3 linked regions of the Arabidopsis thaliana genome follow. The protein of the gene in region 2 interacts with the protein of the main gene of each other region in a pairwise test. Each region holds a gene or a part of one and is shown on either strand. Other genes may lie near its edges. The genes, in order: FU, TES and NP3.

Evidence for each region.
Region 1: the proteins of TES (region 2) and FU interact in a two-hybrid assay, tested with the Arabidopsis thaliana proteins (one study listed by BioGRID).
Region 3: the proteins of TES (region 2) and NP3 interact in a two-hybrid assay, tested with the Arabidopsis thaliana proteins (one study listed by BioGRID).

The regions. Positions count from the first base shown.
Region 1 is NC_003070.9:18,604,846-18,609,529, forward strand, and holds the start of FU (kinase family with ARM repeat domain-containing protein), read left to right. Parts: upstream 1-1,665; 5' UTR 1,666-1,971; intron 1,972-2,191; 5' UTR 2,192-2,217; coding exon 2,218-2,307; intron 2,308-2,392; coding exon 2,393-2,467; intron 2,468-2,562; coding exon 2,563-2,655; intron 2,656-2,760; coding exon 2,761-2,835; intron 2,836-2,912; coding exon 2,913-3,005; intron 3,006-3,410; coding exon 3,411-3,474; intron 3,475-3,562; coding exon 3,563-3,647; intron 3,648-3,831; coding exon 3,832-3,904; intron 3,905-3,977; coding exon 3,978-4,046; intron 4,047-4,153; coding exon 4,154-4,234; intron 4,235-4,391; coding exon 4,392-4,464; intron 4,465-4,548; coding exon 4,549-4,684. UniProt on the Arabidopsis thaliana protein: Plays a role in conventional modes of cytokinesis in meristems and during male gametogenesis but also acts in nonconventional modes of cytokinesis (cellularization) during female gametogenesis.
Region 2 is NC_003074.8:15,188,931-15,196,713, forward strand, and holds TES (ATP binding microtubule motor family protein), read left to right. Parts: upstream 1-1,855; 5' UTR 1,856-1,881; intron 1,882-1,928; exon of another isoform or gene 1,929-1,973; 5' UTR 1,974-2,229; exon of another isoform or gene 2,230-2,321; 5' UTR 2,322-2,498; coding exon 2,499-2,727; intron 2,728-2,827; coding exon 2,828-2,917; intron 2,918-3,002; coding exon 3,003-3,103; intron 3,104-3,196; coding exon 3,197-3,310; intron 3,311-3,388; coding exon 3,389-3,470; intron 3,471-3,673; coding exon 3,674-3,741; intron 3,742-3,892; coding exon 3,893-3,952; intron 3,953-4,017; coding exon 4,018-4,142; intron 4,143-4,290; coding exon 4,291-4,489; intron 4,490-4,912; coding exon 4,913-5,050; intron 5,051-5,227; coding exon 5,228-5,314; intron 5,315-5,398; coding exon 5,399-6,283; intron 6,284-6,368; coding exon 6,369-6,676; intron 6,677-6,760; coding exon 6,761-7,091; 3' UTR 7,092-7,238; downstream 7,239-7,783. UniProt on the Arabidopsis thaliana protein: Probable plus end-directed motor protein that functions in the NACK-PQR (ANP3-MKK6-MPK4) MAP kinase signaling pathway, which is essential for somatic cell cytokinesis, especially for the cell-plate formation and its expansion.
Region 3 is NC_003074.8:1,818,130-1,824,385, reverse strand, and holds NP3 (NPK1-related protein kinase 3), read left to right. Parts: upstream 1-1,527; 5' UTR 1,528-1,680; coding exon 1,681-1,974; intron 1,975-2,066; coding exon 2,067-2,108; intron 2,109-2,209; coding exon 2,210-2,275; intron 2,276-2,360; coding exon 2,361-2,471; intron 2,472-2,559; coding exon 2,560-2,640; intron 2,641-2,717; coding exon 2,718-2,795; intron 2,796-2,887; coding exon 2,888-2,970; intron 2,971-3,132; coding exon 3,133-3,214; intron 3,215-3,317; coding exon 3,318-3,418; intron 3,419-3,553; coding exon 3,554-3,593; intron 3,594-3,711; coding exon 3,712-3,771; intron 3,772-3,839; coding exon 3,840-3,886; intron 3,887-3,978; coding exon 3,979-4,201; intron 4,202-4,290; coding exon 4,291-4,518; intron 4,519-4,895; coding exon 4,896-5,194; intron 5,195-5,279; coding exon 5,280-5,341; intron 5,342-5,432; coding exon 5,433-5,491; 3' UTR 5,492-5,654; downstream 5,655-6,256. Other genes in the region: AT3G06035 (Glycoprotein membrane precursor GPI-anchored), read left to right, coding at 276-354, 691-1,214. UniProt on the Arabidopsis thaliana protein: Involved in cortical microtubules organization and stabilization by regulating the phosphorylation state of microtubule-associated proteins such as MAP65-1.

The sequences.
Region 1 (4,684 bases), on a different chromosome or scaffold from region 2:
TCATCTTTATTATATCAATCCAAAGTGTAGCCACTTTCTCACCAAAAGAAGAATCTCGAACAGAGACTTTAAAAACATTAAACATCGGATCAAACCTATTAAAACCCTTGTTGAATCAATTTAGGTGTTACATCTTTGAGAGAAACAGTAACCGAAACAAATTAAAAATTTTACTTGGAGGTGGGGGTTTACATGCACGTGCTTTGCATTTCTTCTTCAAGCCTAAAGCAAACGCGGACGCATATAGCAGAGAAGACGTCTGCAATATGCTTTCGTGTGCAAGCAAGTATGATTTTGGCGGTTGGGAAGTTTTACAATCGTTTGATATATATCATGCACGGGTAAATGTATAAACTACCGTATCCATAAATTATTATCATATTAGTCATTTTTAATTAATCGTAAATAAGAAATAAATAATAAATTTAATTAAAATTTAAATTAAATTAAATAAACGAATAGTAGCAAACATAAATTAACTGTTCGGTTGATGGACGTTAACGTTTCGTCATCTTTTAAAGATATATAAATTTGCTTATTTTATTGTGAATTTGAAACCATTTCCTTTTGCTTAAGATTTCTTAATGATATCACTACAAAATTGATGAGTTTAACATCAGTTTAAAAAAAAATCTTAATATCATTTTTAAAATGATGCTCGAATTATAGAGTCATTTTAAAAAGAGATACTAAAACTAGTGAAGGTAAAAAATATTTAGTATCATTTTTTCAAATGACACTATAATTCAATCTTAGAACATGATTGGTTGGGATGTAAAAGATTTATAAAGCCACTAAAAAACCTACAATCAATATTGAAACAATCATGTTTTAACTTTCCTATTTTTTTCTCACACCCCAAATACTATATATTTATATATATATTTTAATTATTTTGGCTGTAAGTGCAAGTTTTTCTACAGCATAACTTTAAGATTTTTAGAAGGTCTATATTTTTTTTATTTTTTTTTTCACTTTATTTTTTTATTTTCTTTAAAAATATTACTATATTTTATATATATATATATATTAAATTTAGTTATATGGATATAAATAGTAGGTAAATACCTACTTTATGACATATATAACTCACATTGATAATTGGGAATAATATTATATAAAGTATAATTTACCAATAATATTTTTTTATTTAAAATACATACTATCAAAATCTTATTTCTACAACTAATTTATTTAAATAATTATATTATATCAATAAAATATACATCCTAATTTTTACAACAATAAACCCTACGACTACAGTCATCACACCTACATCAAAAATTTTATAGTAATAAATCTATAACTACATACCGACGAACCAATCACCCACTTAACATCATTTCTTTTTGTTAGTATCATTTCTTAAAACGTTTGTATAGATATTGCTAGGTGTCACTTTGAAACGATTAGAAAATATATAGTTTGTTTCATAATTTGAAATTGACGTTAATTATTATAATATTAGTTATAAGTTTTTTTTTAATGTTATGAATAATAATCGGTGATTTATGTGGAACAGTGGAAACAATATTTTATTTATAATCAAAATAATATTTTAGGAACCAATTTGGAAAATGATAAATAATTTATATTTTTGAGTTCTTTTGTTTTTAAAATAAACCGGAAATTACGACTTGTGGTTTGTTTTTACTTTTTTATAAGGTTTGAGAGAGAGAGAGAGAGAGTACACACTACTCTGACTCAAAGATTTTTCCCTCTTTTTGAATTTCAAAAGTTTCCGAGAATATCCAAACGCAGAGTTTATCTCTCTCTTCAACCATCGATCCAACGGATCTCTCCTAGTTTCACCGCCGAAGACCTCCTCCGCTGTTTCTCGTCGCCGACTTCCCAGTTCTACCATCTCCGGCAGCCACCACTTCGCCTATTTTACGCATTTTCGTGAGCCACGGTTCAATATTCTTCTTTACTATCTCAAATCTTCGATTTCCCCGTTTACTCGCCAATCAGGTTTAGGATCTGCATTTCAAGCTTAATTTGGATGTTTCCAGTTTTTCGATTCGCTACTTTTTGCTTATGCTAAACAAGAAATCGGAACGGAACCCTAGTTTAGAAACTAGCTTTTAATCGAATTAGACTGAATATAGTAGACTCTCCCTCAATTCTGCTTATTTGGGTCTGGGTACCGTCATTTTACCGTTTGAAGCTAAAACGGTGCTTTATTTGACAGATAAAAAAAGCCAATCGTGTTCAGATATGGGTGTCGAGGATTATCATGTGATAGAGCTTGTCGGTGAAGGATCTTTTGGGAGGGTTTACAAAGGAAGACGCAAGTATACCGGCCAGGTAAATTGTTGCTGGGTTGTTCTCTTTGTTATCATCGGCTACTTAAAATCAGCTAATCAATTCTTAATTTGGTAATTTTTATCAGACGGTGGCGATGAAGTTCATCATGAAACAAGGAAAGACTGACAAGGATATACATAGTCTAAGGCAAGAAATCGAGGTTAGCAAGTTTCAGTCCTTAATTGCACTTACCATCAACTTTAATCCCAATCAATTTTATGGTATTTGACCAACATTATTTCTTTTATGCCTCAGATATTGCGGAAGCTCAAGCATGAGAATATCATTGAAATGCTCGACTCCTTTGAAAACGCACGAGAGTTCTGTGTCGTCACTGAGTTTGCCCAAGTACTTTTCTCACTGTAGATTGTAGAATCTAAAGTACTGATTTATGAAGCATATAGCTAGACTTATATGAAATAAAGAATCACCATGGAACACCCAATTTTACAGGGTGAATTGTTTGAGATTCTTGAAGATGACAAGTGCCTTCCCGAAGAGCAAGTTCAAGCAATCGCAAAGCAATTGGTAACACGTTTTGCCAACATGGCTCTTATTTCTATATCTGATTATTAAGACAATTTTGAAACTTCTTTAAAATCCAGGTAAAAGCATTAGATTACTTGCATTCCAACCGTATAATTCACCGTGACATGAAGCCACAAAACATTCTTATTGGTGCTGGCTCTGTCGTTAAGGTAATATAACATTCCTTTTGCTGCTTCCAGTAATTAAGTTTGAAATGCTGTTTCTATGCTTCCCACACACATGAGTTGTTCATATTCTTGTTTCTTAAAGATAAAATTTAGGAGAGAATTATCGTTACAATACGATTCTTCTACTTTTTTCCTCTTCTTATGAGTACCAGATTACGTGCTAACTTCTTGAAAATTGATTTATGAACCATGGATCTTTCCGTCTATGATTATTTCAGAAAACTAAGTTAATCATGTGAGTACTAGAAGAGGATACGGCTAGCCAGGAATCTCATACACTTAGCTAAATATAAGTAGAAACATAAGTATTTTCAATGCGGCTTGATTATATGATTTCTTTAACTTCTCTTTGCCATCAACTAACTTGTCTCCCCTTTGATTTTTCAGCTATGTGATTTTGGTTTTGCTCGAGCTATGTCCACCAACACTGTGGTTTTGCGATCCATTAAAGGTTAAAGATCTTTAATTTCCTTAGACGTATTAATGAGTGAATAAATCAATAAGTCTCTCCTTGTTATTAATCCAAAATATCACATCAGGCACTCCGCTGTACATGGCACCAGAGCTTGTGAAAGAACAGCCATACGATCGCACTGTCGACCTGTGGTCTCTTGGTGTTATATTGTAGGTGGAGAAACTCATCTGAGTTGTCGTACTTCAATTGTTATTGTTATGAAAGCTATTACATCTATAAATGTGATGATTCTGATGGCTTTTCTTTCATAGTTTTTTGTTTTCTGTATTCTTTATGTTATCCACATTTCAATGCACTTGATATGGTTCTAATTAATCTCTTGTAATACATCAGGTACGAGTTATATGTAGGTCAGCCTCCCTTCTACACCAATTCTGTGTATGCTCTCATTCGTCACATTGTTAAGGTATATCAATATTTTTTTATTTTTCCATAGTCTATGCTTAAAGTATGAGCTAACGTTTTAGTGAATCTTCAAGGATCCTGTCAAATATCCTGATGAAATGAGTACTTATTTCGAAAGCTTTTTGAAAGGATTGCTCAACAAGGTGATATATTTATTTTTTCTTTAAGTTGTCCTTTTTACCATTTATTGATATGTTTGAGACCATTGCTGGACTGGGTTAAACTGTTTTTCTATTACTATGCGAAACAGGAACCCCACAGTCGATTAACCTGGCCTGCTCTTCGTGAGCACCCTTTCGTTAAAGAAACACAAGAAGAAGTTGAAGCCAGGGTAATGGTCTGATATTGATGACTTATACTTTGCAGCTTGAGTCCAATGTACAGAGCATTTTGTTAAAACTGTCTTTTTCATGCAATGTAACGGATCTCAAATTAAAACATGTTGTTGGAATAATAGATCACTAAGAACATTTTGAACGCCTATTCAGGAAATCCATACTGCAGTAGTTGACAATAAGGCAGCTTGGATGCTCAAAGGAAATGGAGGGCAACAGAGAAATGGTTTGAATCTCTTCAGTGTGTGGTTAGAATCTATTTCTTAATTAATTTTCTCCTTTATTAAATTTATAGTGTTAAATGTCACAGAAAAGTGCGACTCAGTGACCCTGGTTGAGGACATGTCTGCTACAAAAGGTCTAGCTGACGTTCAGTCAGATATGAAGAGTGCTGTCAAAGTAAATTCTCCACCCACTGAGGATTTTGTGGGATTCCCAACCCAAGA
Region 2 (7,783 bases):
AATACAAAAAAAACAAAAAAAACTGCGGCATAGCGCGTGTGATCATCTAGAGTGTTAGTGAGGCATTTTCGGTTAATCTAAAAACGAAATTTTGGTCTAACCAAAGTAAGCATAGGGACAGTATTTACCATTCACAACTGCTCTTGGAAACCTCCGGTAGTAGAACTAAGTCATTTTCAGACAGGACCAAAAAGAAATAGTAACTCATATGTAGAACTTACACTTCAACTTTTATTCCCATATATATGAAAGTTGGAAAACTCTCTACATATAAGTGACACATCATCACACAAGAAAATGACATGTGTCATTCTACATTAATTAAATAAAAAAATTAGTAAAACTAATTGAGGAAAAATTAAAAGTCTTTTGTTGTGTTAAATTCTCTATTAATCTCACTCTTAAAATTAATTTTCTAAAAACATTCAATAAATAAAAAAATCATAATAATGTATCAAATACTACTTTTATTCTATTTTACTTATTTTTATATTTTTTTATCAATAGTTATTAATCCATAATGGCTAAAAATTTACGTGTATTGTATTTTAGATAATTGCTATCTAACCTCATATTAATTTAATAATTTTAGTTGGATATTTTCTTATTATTACGTTATGTGAATATGATTTATCATATGACCTTCTTTCTGTTTATTTTTGTGCGGTCTGATAACTTGATAACATTGATATACAATTTTTTCACGTAATGGTCATCCGAGACATTAGACATATCCACACAAAAATACGAGACTCTATATGGCTATATGCAAGGGAAGATAATTAAAGTGTTAACTTAAATTACTAGCATATCATGATAGGTTGGTGTACTAGATGACGAAAGAATATATGAAAAAAAGAATTGTTTGTTACAATTAAGTTAAACAAATTTCAAAATACATTAGTAATATAACTACATATTAATATATCATATAATGTTGTTGTATGTGTTCATGATAGTGAAATACTTGAATAATAGGTATATAAATATTCATATTATAGTAAAATTGTTGATCTATACTATATGATTTCACAATGAAACAACGTAGATATATATATAGGAGGAGAAAACTTGGGGAGTAAGTGTCTTAAAGATAAAGTAACTTGGTGAGTAAGACTTATATATAAGGATAAGATAAGGTCATATGATCTACTTTAAAGATGGATAATCATCCATGTTTTCTAACATGTTTCACTTTATTGTGCTCAGGACCAGTTATGTACGTGTATGTGGATGAGTTTTTGTGGCTAAATCGAAGAAAGAATGTGAAAGCTAAAAGGAGGATTAAACCCTAACTAAAAGCTAGCTAACCTCATTGTTCACTAATTAATCACACTGAAAAAGGCAACGCAACAAGCTAAACAAATCCCAACTTAGAAAGAAAAAATACGCTAAAAATTTAACACTAATCACACTTACAATATAACGAGCAGAATTAGTAACAACAAAGCAAAGGAAGGAAGCTAAAGGAAACAGAACATTTAGTATTTATACACGAGACGTGAGAGAGAATGGGGTAACTCGAAAAACCCTAGAGATAGGACAGATATCATCATCCTGTGTCGGGCTGCAAAAAATCGCTAACTTTCTCTCCGTACAAGCTTTTTCATCACCTCTCGTGCTTCCTGTGTTTGTTGTTTCTAGTCGTTTGCATATGACCGTTGTGCCTCAGACGACGTCGCTTTAGTATTGGGCTTAATCTTTAGCTGGCCCATGTTTCTCTTTTCTTCATTTGACCCAATTTATCAACACAGTCGTTTTTTGCTCTCTCGGATTGAGAAATTCTGCTTGTAAACCATAACGTACCAATAAACCCGTTTTGGTTGGCATTAACGTACACATTGATGCACTTTTCTTAGAACGTTAAGATACGTCGTATAGGTTAGTGCTGTGTTCGATGTAGAATCCCAATCTTACACGTGGCTCGTTAAGAACCCTTGATCTTTGACCGTTCAAAGTTCAAAAAATTTCAGGTCTGCGCAGAGAACGGGAATTGAAAAAAACAAAGTAAAAAGAAGAAGAAGACGAAGAAGAAGAAAGTAGCAAGAAAATAGTTTCCGTTACACATTCTCTGCTTTCGATTTTGCCTCTGCGAAAACAAATCCCTAATCATCTCCACCATCTTCTCATCGATTTGATTTTCTCCGGCGAATCATCCGTCCGTCGTCGACCACCACCGCCGCGTTTTCTTTCTCCGACGTGTTCCCTCTGTTAAGTCCCTTCTTCTCTGTAAGCGATCTTTTAATTTCTCTCTTGTTTCCTATTCTGGATTTGATTTCAGGTGACTATTATGTTGGATTCTCATGTATTGGTTGTTCTAGTTTCCATAGATGGATTTCTGAACAATCTAACAGTTACGATTACTGATTCTCAAAGAAAATCTTCGATTAGGTGATTAGATTTAGAAGAAATTGTGTTTGATCTACAGATGTAGAGTAGATTTGTAGCGTTTAGGTCTTATAAGTTTCTAAAATTGGTTTCGATTTTGTGTGTAGAAGATGATGGGACCTCCGAGAACTCCGTTAAGTAAGATAGATAAGTCCAATCCTTATACTCCATGTGGTTCCAAAGTTACAGAGGAGAAGATTCTTGTCACTGTTCGGATGAGACCATTAAATTGGAGGGAACATGCCAAATATGATCTCATTGCTTGGGAATGTCCCGATGATGAGACTATCGTCTTTAAGAATCCGAATCCTGACAAGGCTCCAACAAAATATTCATTTGGTATTTTTTATTAGAATCTAGTCGATTGCTTATTTTGTCTTCTCTTCTTTCCATTTTTGTTATATAGCTCATTTAAGTTTTTTCTTCTTTGTACTTATAGATAAAGTTTTTGAGCCAACTTGTGCAACTCAAGAGGTGTATGAAGGTGGTTCTAGGGACGTTGCACTATCTGCATTAGCAGGAACAAATGGTAACTACACAGAAATCTAAAAAATCCCATTATCTAAGGATATGTTATTTGTGGATATGTGATTTCTTGTCTCTATCTATTGCAGCAACTATTTTTGCTTATGGTCAGACTAGTAGTGGCAAGACGTTTACAATGAGGGGGGTTACTGAAAGTGTTGTTAAAGATATATACGAACATATAAGAAAAGTGAGTGATCAAATGGATGTGTTTTGGTTTTGGTTTTGTTACGAAGTGATATGTTCTTTTTCTATTCTCATGGATCTGTTGAAATCTATGTAGACTCAAGAAAGGAGCTTTGTCTTGAAAGTATCTGCTTTGGAGATTTATAACGAGACCGTGGTTGACCTTTTAAATCGTGATACTGGGCCCCTTAGACTGTTAGATGATCCAGAGGTAAGTAAAGGGTCGGAAACACTAAGTCAAGGCTCATGAACTATCTCGGCCAGTATAAGAATGCTGTGTATATTGCAGAAAGGAACCATTGTGGAAAATCTGGTGGAGGAAGTGGTAGAAAGCAGGCAACATTTACAGCATTTAATTAGCATTTGTGAAGGTAATTCTTCTATCACCTGTTAAGATGCTCTATATCTTTTTATGCATTTGATGGTGATAGTATTCTAAGTAATGTTTAGCAAAGCCTTAGAACCATGTAGATGACATATATAAAATATGACTAATTATTTCACTAATCACTAATGAGACATATGATATCATCATTTTATTTCCTGTTATGTGATTTTCCATTTATTGTTACAGATCAAAGGCAAGTAGGTGAAACTGCTTTAAACGACAAAAGTTCAAGATCGCATCAGATTATTCGGCTGGTATGATCTATACTTATCTGATATGCTGCATGATTGAATTAATATTCTATTAAACATGGAGAAGATAGTTTTGCCTAGTTATTTGCTACCATTAGACAGTAAAAGTAACCACTTCCCATAATTTCTCATGTTCTCTGCTTTTAATATTCAGACCATCCATAGCAGTCTCAGGGAAATAGCAGGCTGTGTGCAGTCTTTCATGGCAACTCTGGTACGTCATTTATTATCATTGGGTTGAAGCTTCACTTGGTATTGACGACATTTTAATTGGTGCAGAATCTTGTTGATCTTGCTGGAAGCGAACGTGCTTTTCAAACAAACGCAGATGGTCTAAGATTGAAGGAAGGAAGCCACATTAACCGTAGTTTATTGACACTTACTACAGTGATCAGAAAACTGAGGTCAGAAAGCACACTAGTTTGAACACCATGATTGTCTTTGGCATGTCTAAATTACCTTTTAGATTGATGAACATTTTCACCTGTAGGGCATCTTAAGAAATTAGCAAAACATTAAAGTTTTTAATTATTTCTGTTATTTTGGTTGAAGTTCTGGAAGAAAAAGGGATCACGTGCCGTATAGAGACTCAAAGCTGACAAGAATTTTGCAAAATTCACTTGGCGGGAATGCTAGAACAGCAATTATATGTACGATTAGTCCGGCACTGAGTCATGTTGAACAGACAAAAAAGACACTTTCTTTTGCCATGAGTGCGAAGGAAGTCACCAATTGCGCTAAAGTAAACATGGTATGTCACTTAGTTAAATATTTGTAGAGGTCTTTCGTTTTGCAGAACCAGGATGATTGTATAGAGCTTTGTCTTTGGCTTACTAAAGCTTTTCTTTGGCCTTTCATTGCAAATGTGGTTTTGTTTCTGAGTAGCAATCATCATCCTATAGTGAGCATATCATATGCAATTATCTGCCTGCATGTCTATTCTGCTCTTGCCATGAATTAAGAATACAAAATGCATCGCGTTACCTGTAATGATGTAGTGAGATATATTTTCAAAGCCTTCTTTTGTCGCTCTCCCACTAACATTACTCCTTTTGCTTCAATCTTCTTTGTGTTTGATGAATCACAAAACGGTTTTGCTTGTTCTTGATAGAAAGTTTACCCCTCTGCTGGTATTCAATTTAGGGATGTGAATTTAGTTGATTTTCTGTCGTAGGTTGTCTCAGAAAAAAAGCTGCTGAAACATCTGCAGCAAAAAGTAGCTAAACTCGAGTCAGAGTTAAGAAGCCCGGAGCCCAGTTCATCCACCTGCTTAAAGTCTCTGTTAATTGAGAAAGAGATGAAAATCCAACAGGTATGACTTAGACTTTAAGAACTAGAATTCACATCTTGAATTATCTCTTCTGAATATTTTAAATGTGGAGTCCACAGACTAGGTAAACCATATGGGACGTGAACTTAAGTTTATTAACAAAAACAACTTGAATTTTTTATCACTTGCAATTATTCATTCATGTTTAACTAATGGCAGATGGAATCCGAAATGAAAGAGCTAAAGCGTCAGAGAGACATTGCACAGTCTGAACTTGATCTAGAAAGAAAAGCAAAGGAGCGGAAGGTATGTGCGCTGCTAATATGATATACCAAAATTTTCTGGGATAACTTCAACCTTATGCAGACATGCCTATATAATTGGTTGCAGGGATCAAGTGAGTGTGAACCTTTTTCTCAAGTGGCAAGGTGTCTCTCATACCATACAAAGGAGGAATCCATTCCAAGCAAATCTGTTCCGTCAAGCCGCAGAACAGCTCGTGATAGGAGAAAGGATAATGTGAGGCAGTCTTTAACTTCGGCGGATCCAACAGCGCTAGTCCAAGAAATTCGTTTGCTTGAAAAACATCAAAAGAAGTTGGGTGAAGAAGCAAACCAAGCACTGGATCTAATTCACAAAGAAGTGACATCCCATAAACTGGGTGATCAACAAGCTGCAGAAAAAGTTGCGAAAATGCTGTCAGAAATCAGGGACATGCAGAAGAGCAACCTTTTAACTGAGGAAATTGTAGTTGGTGATAAAGCCAACCTGAAGGAAGAAATAAATCGGTTGAATTCTCAAGAAATTGCAGCTTTGGAGAAGAAGCTAGAGTGTGTTCAGAACACTATTGACATGCTTGTCTCGTCTTTTCAGACAGATGAACAGACTCCAGATTTCAGGACCCAGGTGAAAAAGAAGAGACTTCTTCCCTTCGGCTTAAGTAATAGTCCTAACCTACAGCATATGATCCGGGGACCATGTTCACCTCTTTCTGGGACTGAAAATAAGGATCCTGAGAGCAATGTTGTGTCTGCTAATTCAGCCCCAGTGTCTTTTGGAGCTACTCCACCAAAGAGGGATGATAACCGATGTCGTACACAGTCAAGGGAAGGAACGCCTGTATCACGACAAGCAAATTCAGTCGATATTAAGAGAATGAATCGAATGTATAAGAATGCTGCCGAAGAGAATATACGTAATATCAAATCTTATGTTACTGGATTGAAAGAACGTGTGGCGAAGCTTCAATACCAGAAGCAGCTGCTTGTTTGCCAGGTCAGTTTACACTTGTGACTTATGCTCATTCATTTACAAATTTGTTCATCAGTAATCAGTAACTTAAAAAGCTTGTACATGTTAGGTGTTAGAACTGGAGGCAAACGAGACAGGCGCTGCTTCGGAGTACGATGCAACCGATGAATCTCAGATGGATTGGCCATTGTGTTTTGAAGAGCAGAGAAAGCAAATCATAATGTTATGGCATCTGTGCCACATTTCAATCATTCACAGAACACAATTCTACATGTTATTCAAAGGAGACCCAGCTGATCAAATCTACATGGAGGTTGAGCTCCGCAGGCTGACATGGCTCGAACAGCACTTGGCTGAGCTTGGGAATGCGAGTCCTGCATTGCTTGGTGATGAACCAGCAAGCTACGTAGCATCGAGGTAGTACAAGAGCTTTCCTTTTCTTCAATTCTATGAGTTAAAACCATTTTTCACTAGCATATATATGTCTTTGGTGTGCTGCAGTATAAGAGCTTTGAAGCAGGAGAGAGAGTATTTGGCGAAACGGGTAAACACAAAGCTAGGAGCAGAGGAAAGAGAGATGCTATACCTGAAATGGGATGTCCCGCCGGTGGGAAAACAGAGGAGACAACAGTTCATCAACAAACTCTGGACAGATCCTCACAACATGCAACACGTGAGAGAGAGTGCGGAGATCGTGGCTAAGCTTGTCGGATTCTGTGACTCGGGAGAGACCATAAGGAAAGAAATGTTTGAGCTCAACTTTGCATCTCCTTCAGATAAGAAGACTTGGATGATGGGTTGGAACTTCATATCCAACTTGTTGCATCTCTAGCTGTTGTACCCTCCTATAAATCCTACACGTCTACTTTTCTCTGTTTGTAAATCGTTAACTTCAAAACTCTTTTGATGCTGAATAGAGAGTGTGATTCACACGACCTGTGAAAACCCTCTTTTTAAAATCCTAACCATATGATCATCTAATCTCTGTTGATTCTTTAAATTGGTAAATGTTTCTATATTACTCGATATAACGGGTAGGTCTGGGCGAATAAACTGAACCGACTGTACAGAATCGAAACCAAAACAAAAATAACTAAACCGAATCGTACCGAAAGTTGGAAATAACCGAATGGATACTGAATTTTATAATCGAAAGAACTGAAACCAAATAGATACGTAGCGAAATATTTCGGGTAAACGAAACTTTCCGAAATATAAATATATTTTTAAAATATTAGTTATTTCTAGACTAAATAATTAAAAATATATATATAATAGTAAAAATACTCGAAAATAACCGAAATATCCAAAAATATCCAAAAATGACCGAAAAATATCCAAAATGACCGAAAATATTCAAAAATAACCAAAATATCCAAAAATATTCAATCTAAACAACCGAATGGATACAAAATTTTAAAACCAAAAAAACTAGAACCGAACTAAACTTTCAAAATAACCGAATGGATACTAAGCTTTAGAACCAGAAAAACTGATAACCGAATGGAAGCGAACTGAAACCGA
Region 3 (6,256 bases), about 13 Mb from region 2:
GTCAATTGTTTGCCTTCTCTTTGGAACTTGTTCTTGTCCTCTATCCTTATATTAGAAACGATGCCGTATAGGATGAGAGGGACCAAGCGAATTAGTTAAAAATGCCTTAAATTGTCGGCACAACGTCAAAATCGAGCTGACAAGAAAAGCAGAACAGAATCAAACAACTCTTTATGAGTAAAAGCGAAGTAACCATTTCTCTCACTCTCCTTTCTCAATTAATATAAGCCAATCACCATCAAAATATCATTTGAGAACTCTAGAAACCTGCTTCAATGGCGATCGACAAGCTTCCACTTCTTCTCTTTCTCTCCATACTCCTCTGCCTCAATCGCCCTGTTCTTAGCGACACCGGTAACTTCCTCTCTTTCTTCCATTGTTTTCTTGTTGAAGTAAATCTCTGTTCTTGAAACTCTTTCTGTCTCTCTTTATAGTGTTTATTCAGGATCTTTAGATCTGGTCTGAAATCTCTTAGGAGTTAGGATCTGTTCACTTCAATTAAAAGTTCTTCCATAGATCTCAATCATGAGAAAGTTGAACTTATTTGAAAAGGTTAATACTTTCTCAAGTGTATAATTTGCTTTCCTTCTCTTGATAACAAATAAAGAACAAAAATTTACTTTAACTAGAGATTGTGAATATGCTTCTGCAAATGATATAGACTTTAATCAAGCGTCTTCTGAGTTGCAGATGAAGAGGACATTCTTCTCACAGGAATCAACAGCTACAGAACAACACAGAATCTAACAATCTTAAGCAAGAACGAAAACGCAGAATGCCTAGCTGACGAAATCGCAGACCAATTCAAGAACAAACCTTGTACCAACGACACTGGCTCAGCCACAGTACCTGGAACTGAGCCACAGTTCGCAAACTACCCTCAGATTCTAGCAAAATGCCACTTGAACGTCTCAGACACGAGAGACGGCTCGATTATGCCTGCATGTGTTCCTCGTTTAGAATCAAACCTCGTCCTCACAAACTTCACCAAGTCACAATACTCAATGAGTTTGAACGATTCCAAGTTTACAGGGATTGGTATTGGTAAAGAAGATGATTGGATCGTTGTAGTCCTCACTACCAACACACCAGAAGGAAGCTATTCTACAGCTACTCCTACAAAACAAGAGTCTAATGGCTTCACCTTTGGTATTGGTCTCGTTAGTTATTTAGTCATTTTCATGTACTCTTCCTTTTGTTTCTTTCTCTTTTGAGATATCAAATGTTTTGATGAGTTATCAAACACTCTTTCCTTTAGACTATCAAGAATAAATTTTGTTAAAGATTAGTTGTTATAATTTCTGAAACTTGACGCTTATGGCATGTGATGTCATGATAGGACGTACTTAAAATACTGTATTTTGTCGGTGAGTTTGGTGGAGAAAGACAAGATTATGCAACGACCGACACAAATCTGGATATTTTACACGTGGGAAGTACTTTATGCGCTCCAATACTGAAAAAGCCCAATAAGAAGGCCCATTAAGTAACGGGTAAAATATTTAGGATTATTGAAAGGGTTTCAACGGAAAAATCACAAAAACTAAGCTTTTAATTTTGAAAAACAGATCGAGTTTCTCTTTCCCTCCTCGAAATTTCCTAAATCCACACATCACGAAGCCGAAGCAGCCATGAGTAATCTTCACTGATCTCTCTACACATTCACCGTCGGCTTCTCAAATGCAGGATATTCTCGGATCGGTTCGCCGATCCTTGGTTTTCCGGTCGTCTTTGGCCGGAGACGATGGTACTAGCGGCGGAGGTCTTAGCGGATTCGTCGGGAAGATTAACTCTAGTATCCGTAGCTCTCGAATTGGGCTCTTTTCTAAGCCGCCTCCAGGCCTTCCTGCTCCTAGAAAAGAAGAAGCGCCGTCGATTCGGTGGAGGAAAGGGGAATTAATCGGTTGCGGTGCTTTTGGAAGAGTTTACATGGGAATGAACCTCGATTCCGGCGAGCTTCTTGCAATTAAACAGGTTAATTTTGAATTTCTTAGTTCTGGTTACTTTCAGTTGCCTTTAATTTATGATTTCTTCTGCTGATTTGTGATTTTTTTTTTGGATAATAGGTTTTAATCGCTCCAAGCAGTGCTTCAAAGGAGAAGACTCAGGTGAGTTATTGCTCTATCTTTTAAATTTTGCAATTTTCGATAAATCTGTTACCAATTTGGTAACAACTTTGGTTTCCTTTGGTCTTGAATCCTTGTTTTAGGGTCACATCCGAGAGCTTGAGGAAGAAGTACAACTTCTTAAGAATCTTTCACATCCGAACATCGTTGTGAGTTGGCGAATCCATTCAGCTATTTCTCATATGTTTAATGTCTGTTCCACATGCATTCTTCTTATTATCTTTGTTTTTGCAGAGATACTTGGGTACTGTAAGAGAGAGTGATTCGTTGAATATTTTGATGGAGTTTGTTCCTGGTGGATCAATATCATCTTTGTTGGAGAAGTTTGGATCTTTTCCTGAGCCTGTAAGTCCTGACTACACCTGAACTTTGCTAAATCTTGTATTTGAGCTTCGCTGGCGATGAATGTTGTGTCTTTAACTTTTTTAAATAGGTGATTATTATGTACACAAAGCAACTTCTGCTTGGTCTGGAATATCTTCACAACAATGGGATCATGCATCGAGATATTAAGGTACTTTCCTCTTTCCAACATGTGATATGCTTGTGGTTTCTCAAAATTCCGCTATAACTCTTGTCATATTCTCCTAGGGGGCAAATATTTTGGTCGATAACAAAGGTTGCATCAGACTCGCAGATTTTGGTGCTTCCAAGAAAGTTGTAGAGCTAGTATGATTGCGCTTCTCTTTCTCTTTAATCATATTTCAATATGTTGCCTCTCTCTTCAGTACTCTAAAACTTTGTGAACTTTATGCTTCTAGGCTACTGTAAATGGTGCCAAATCTATGAAGGGGACGCCTTATTGGATGGCTCCTGAAGTCATTCTCCAGACTGGTCATAGCTTGTAAGTATTTCAAGAATACCCTACCAGTTATCTTCTTCTCCCCATCTCCTTAGTTTTTGTAAGATAATAGATTATACATGCTCTGAGTAGTGGGAATGGGTTCTCATCTATTTTTCCATGTGTATTGCAACTTTCATTCTGACCTTCTTCTTTAATCTGAAGCTCTGCTGATATATGGAGTGTTGGGTGCACTGTGATTGAGATGGCTACGGGGAAGCCTCCCTGGAGCGAGCAGTATCAGCAGGTAAAGAGTCACTGGGTGAAGGACACTTTCCAGTATTGTTGATGCATATGACGCTGTCTTTTATTTTAGAAACCTAAGAAGACCTAAAAAGTTTTTCTTTCAGTTTGCTGCTGTCCTTCATATTGGTAGAACAAAAGCTCATCCTCCAATTCCAGAAGACCTCTCACCAGAGGCTAAAGACTTTCTAATGAAATGCTTACACAAGTAAGTCATAAGTTTTTTCCCCAGTTCGTTTTTGTCTTTATCTAGATAGCTCCTGTAAAGATCAATGTCCACCATTCTATTTCAAGAGAGCATCTATATCTGTTGTTCTATTAATAAGAGAAATTATCTTTTCAGAGAACCAAGCTTGAGACTCTCTGCAACCGAATTGCTTCAGGTGTTGTGAATAACATATCTTCTCCATTTCACAATTGTGAAAATGTTCTTTACTCTCAATGCACAATACTAAGTTATTATTGTTGCTCATAGTGCTGACAGCTTCTTAACATTTGCAGCACCCGTTTGTCACTGGAAAGCGCCAGGAACCTTATCCAGCTTACCGTAATTCTCTTACGGTTAGTACATTATGCAGTAAACTTTTTTCTGGTTCTTCAACCTTCTGACCTCCTTTCTAATATATCAGGAATGTGGAAACCCAATAACTACTCAAGGAATGAATGTTCGGAGTTCGTAAGTTTTTTTCTTGCAGCTCTAGTTTCAATCTTCTCACTATCCATGATTTTGATCCCTTGATTCTTATTTTACTTCCTCTGTTGTTCCAGAATAAATTCGTTGATCAGGAGGTCGACATGTTCAGGCTTGAAGGATGTCTGTGAACTGGGAAGCTTGAGGAGTTCCATTATATACCCACAGAAGTCAAATAACTCAGGATTTGGTTGGCGAGATGGAGACTCTGATGACCTTTGTCAGACCGATATGGATGATCTCTGCAACATTGAATCAGTCAGAAACAATGTTTTGTCACAGTCCACCGATTTAAACAAGGTGATAAGTCTATCCTCCAGATTTTAAAACATGTCCGTTGATTACAGTACTTATACTGACAGTGGAAAGGAACTTTTTGACTTTAACAGAGTTTTAATCCCATGTGTGATTCCACGGATAACTGGTCTTGCAAGTTTGATGAAAGCCCAAAAGTGATGAAAAGCAAATCTAACCTGCTTTCTTACCAAGCTTCTCAACTCCAAACTGGAGTTCCATGTGATGAGGAAACCAGCTTAACATTTGCTGGTGGCTCTTCCGTTGCAGAGGATGATTATAAAGGCACAGAGTTGAAAATAAAATCATTTTTGGATGAGAAGGTAAGGCCTTTTTGTAGTATATGGGTGAGAATTCAGTTACTATTATGCATGATTCCTGTTTTCTCAGATTCATTTACTAACTTAAAAGACCTGCTAAATATGAAATTTCGAAACTTTAAAGCTACTAAACAGTATTAAACTTGGTTAATGTTGAACACATGCACATTGCGACGTTGGACTCTTGTTTACATGTTTTGTGTGGTATAGTGTTTCAATTTTCAATACTCCAATAGTCATAATCATCTCTCCTGCAACTGTGGCTCTTTTTTGCTTGGTCTGCCTGGAATTTTTAAATGCATCTCGGCTACCAACATGAGGTTTTGTGATGATACTGAGTCTTAGTCACTTACTCGTTTGTCGTTTTATGTGTTGTCAAGGCTCAGGATTTGAAAAGGTTGCAGACCCCTCTGCTTGAAGAATTCCACAATGCTATGAATCCAGGAATACCCCAAGGTGCACTTGGAGACACCAATATCTACAATTTACCAAACTTACCAAGTATAAGCAAGACACCTAAACGACTTCCGAGTAGACGACTCTCAGCAATCAGTGATGCTATGCCCAGCCCACTCAAAAGCTCCAAACGTACACTGAACACAAGCAGAGTGATGCAGTCAGGAACTGAACCAACTCAAGTCAACGAGTCGACCAAGAAGGGAGTAAATAATAGCCGTTGGTGAGTTAGCTCGTGCTTAAGTTACTGGTGTTAGGCCTGAAACTGGTTTTATTCTCTTTGGTGTTAATGTTTCCTTCTTCCTCAGTTTCTCAGAGATACGTCGGAAGTGGGAAGAAGAACTCTATGAAGAGCTTGAGAGGCATCGAGGTAAGTGTTATTTCTTCAAGACTAAAGATTTGAAGAAAATGACTTAAAATTTGTACAAGCATTTGTTTACTAATAGTAAAACTCTTTGCAGAGAATCTGCGACACGCTGGTGCAGGAGGGAAGACTCCATTATCAGGCCACAAAGGATAGTGAACGGCTAAAGAGAAACTGTATGTTTCTTTCTTATGTTTCAAAATTACTTCTTCGTATTTTTTTTTGTTGGTGGGGTAATTTCATGACTAGTATGATATATGTAGATAGTTCTTCAACGGTTCATAGTATTATTATTTATTATTATTATTATTATTATTATTATTATTATTATTATTATTATTATTATTATTATTATTATTATTATGTATACATATCTTAAATCTGACTTATAAGGTCGTATCAACCATCTAAAAACTTGTTTGTGAATTGTGGTGTTGTTCGAGTATGGTTATTTTGTTTTAAGTATAAAAAAAACTAGTCTTATAAAAAAAAGTTTACCCTATTTCCTTTTACATGAGCAGTCAGTTAATCACTCATGCACCAAAAAGATAAAAATAAGAAATTAGACCAAAGTTTTTAATTCAAAATTTTGGTTGGAGGATGGGCTGTCAAGAAAAAAAAGCTGAGCAAATTTTTTTTTTAAAAAAGAGAGAAGAGAAACATGAAGATCTTCATGCTTAAAGATTTCTTGATTTTCTCTTCCAAATCTATTAATAATCAACATTTAGATTTTGTGCTTTCCTCTTTTATCAGTGTTTGGACCGTTTTTGATTGAAGTATTGACCATATGTAGATACACTTATAAATCCCGAAATAAAAAGAAAAGAGAAGGACATGTGAATTTTTCGATTTGTGTACGTTGTCGACAAGTCCATATCTAAATGATATGTATGAGAGATAGAGAGAGCGAGAGAATCCCTT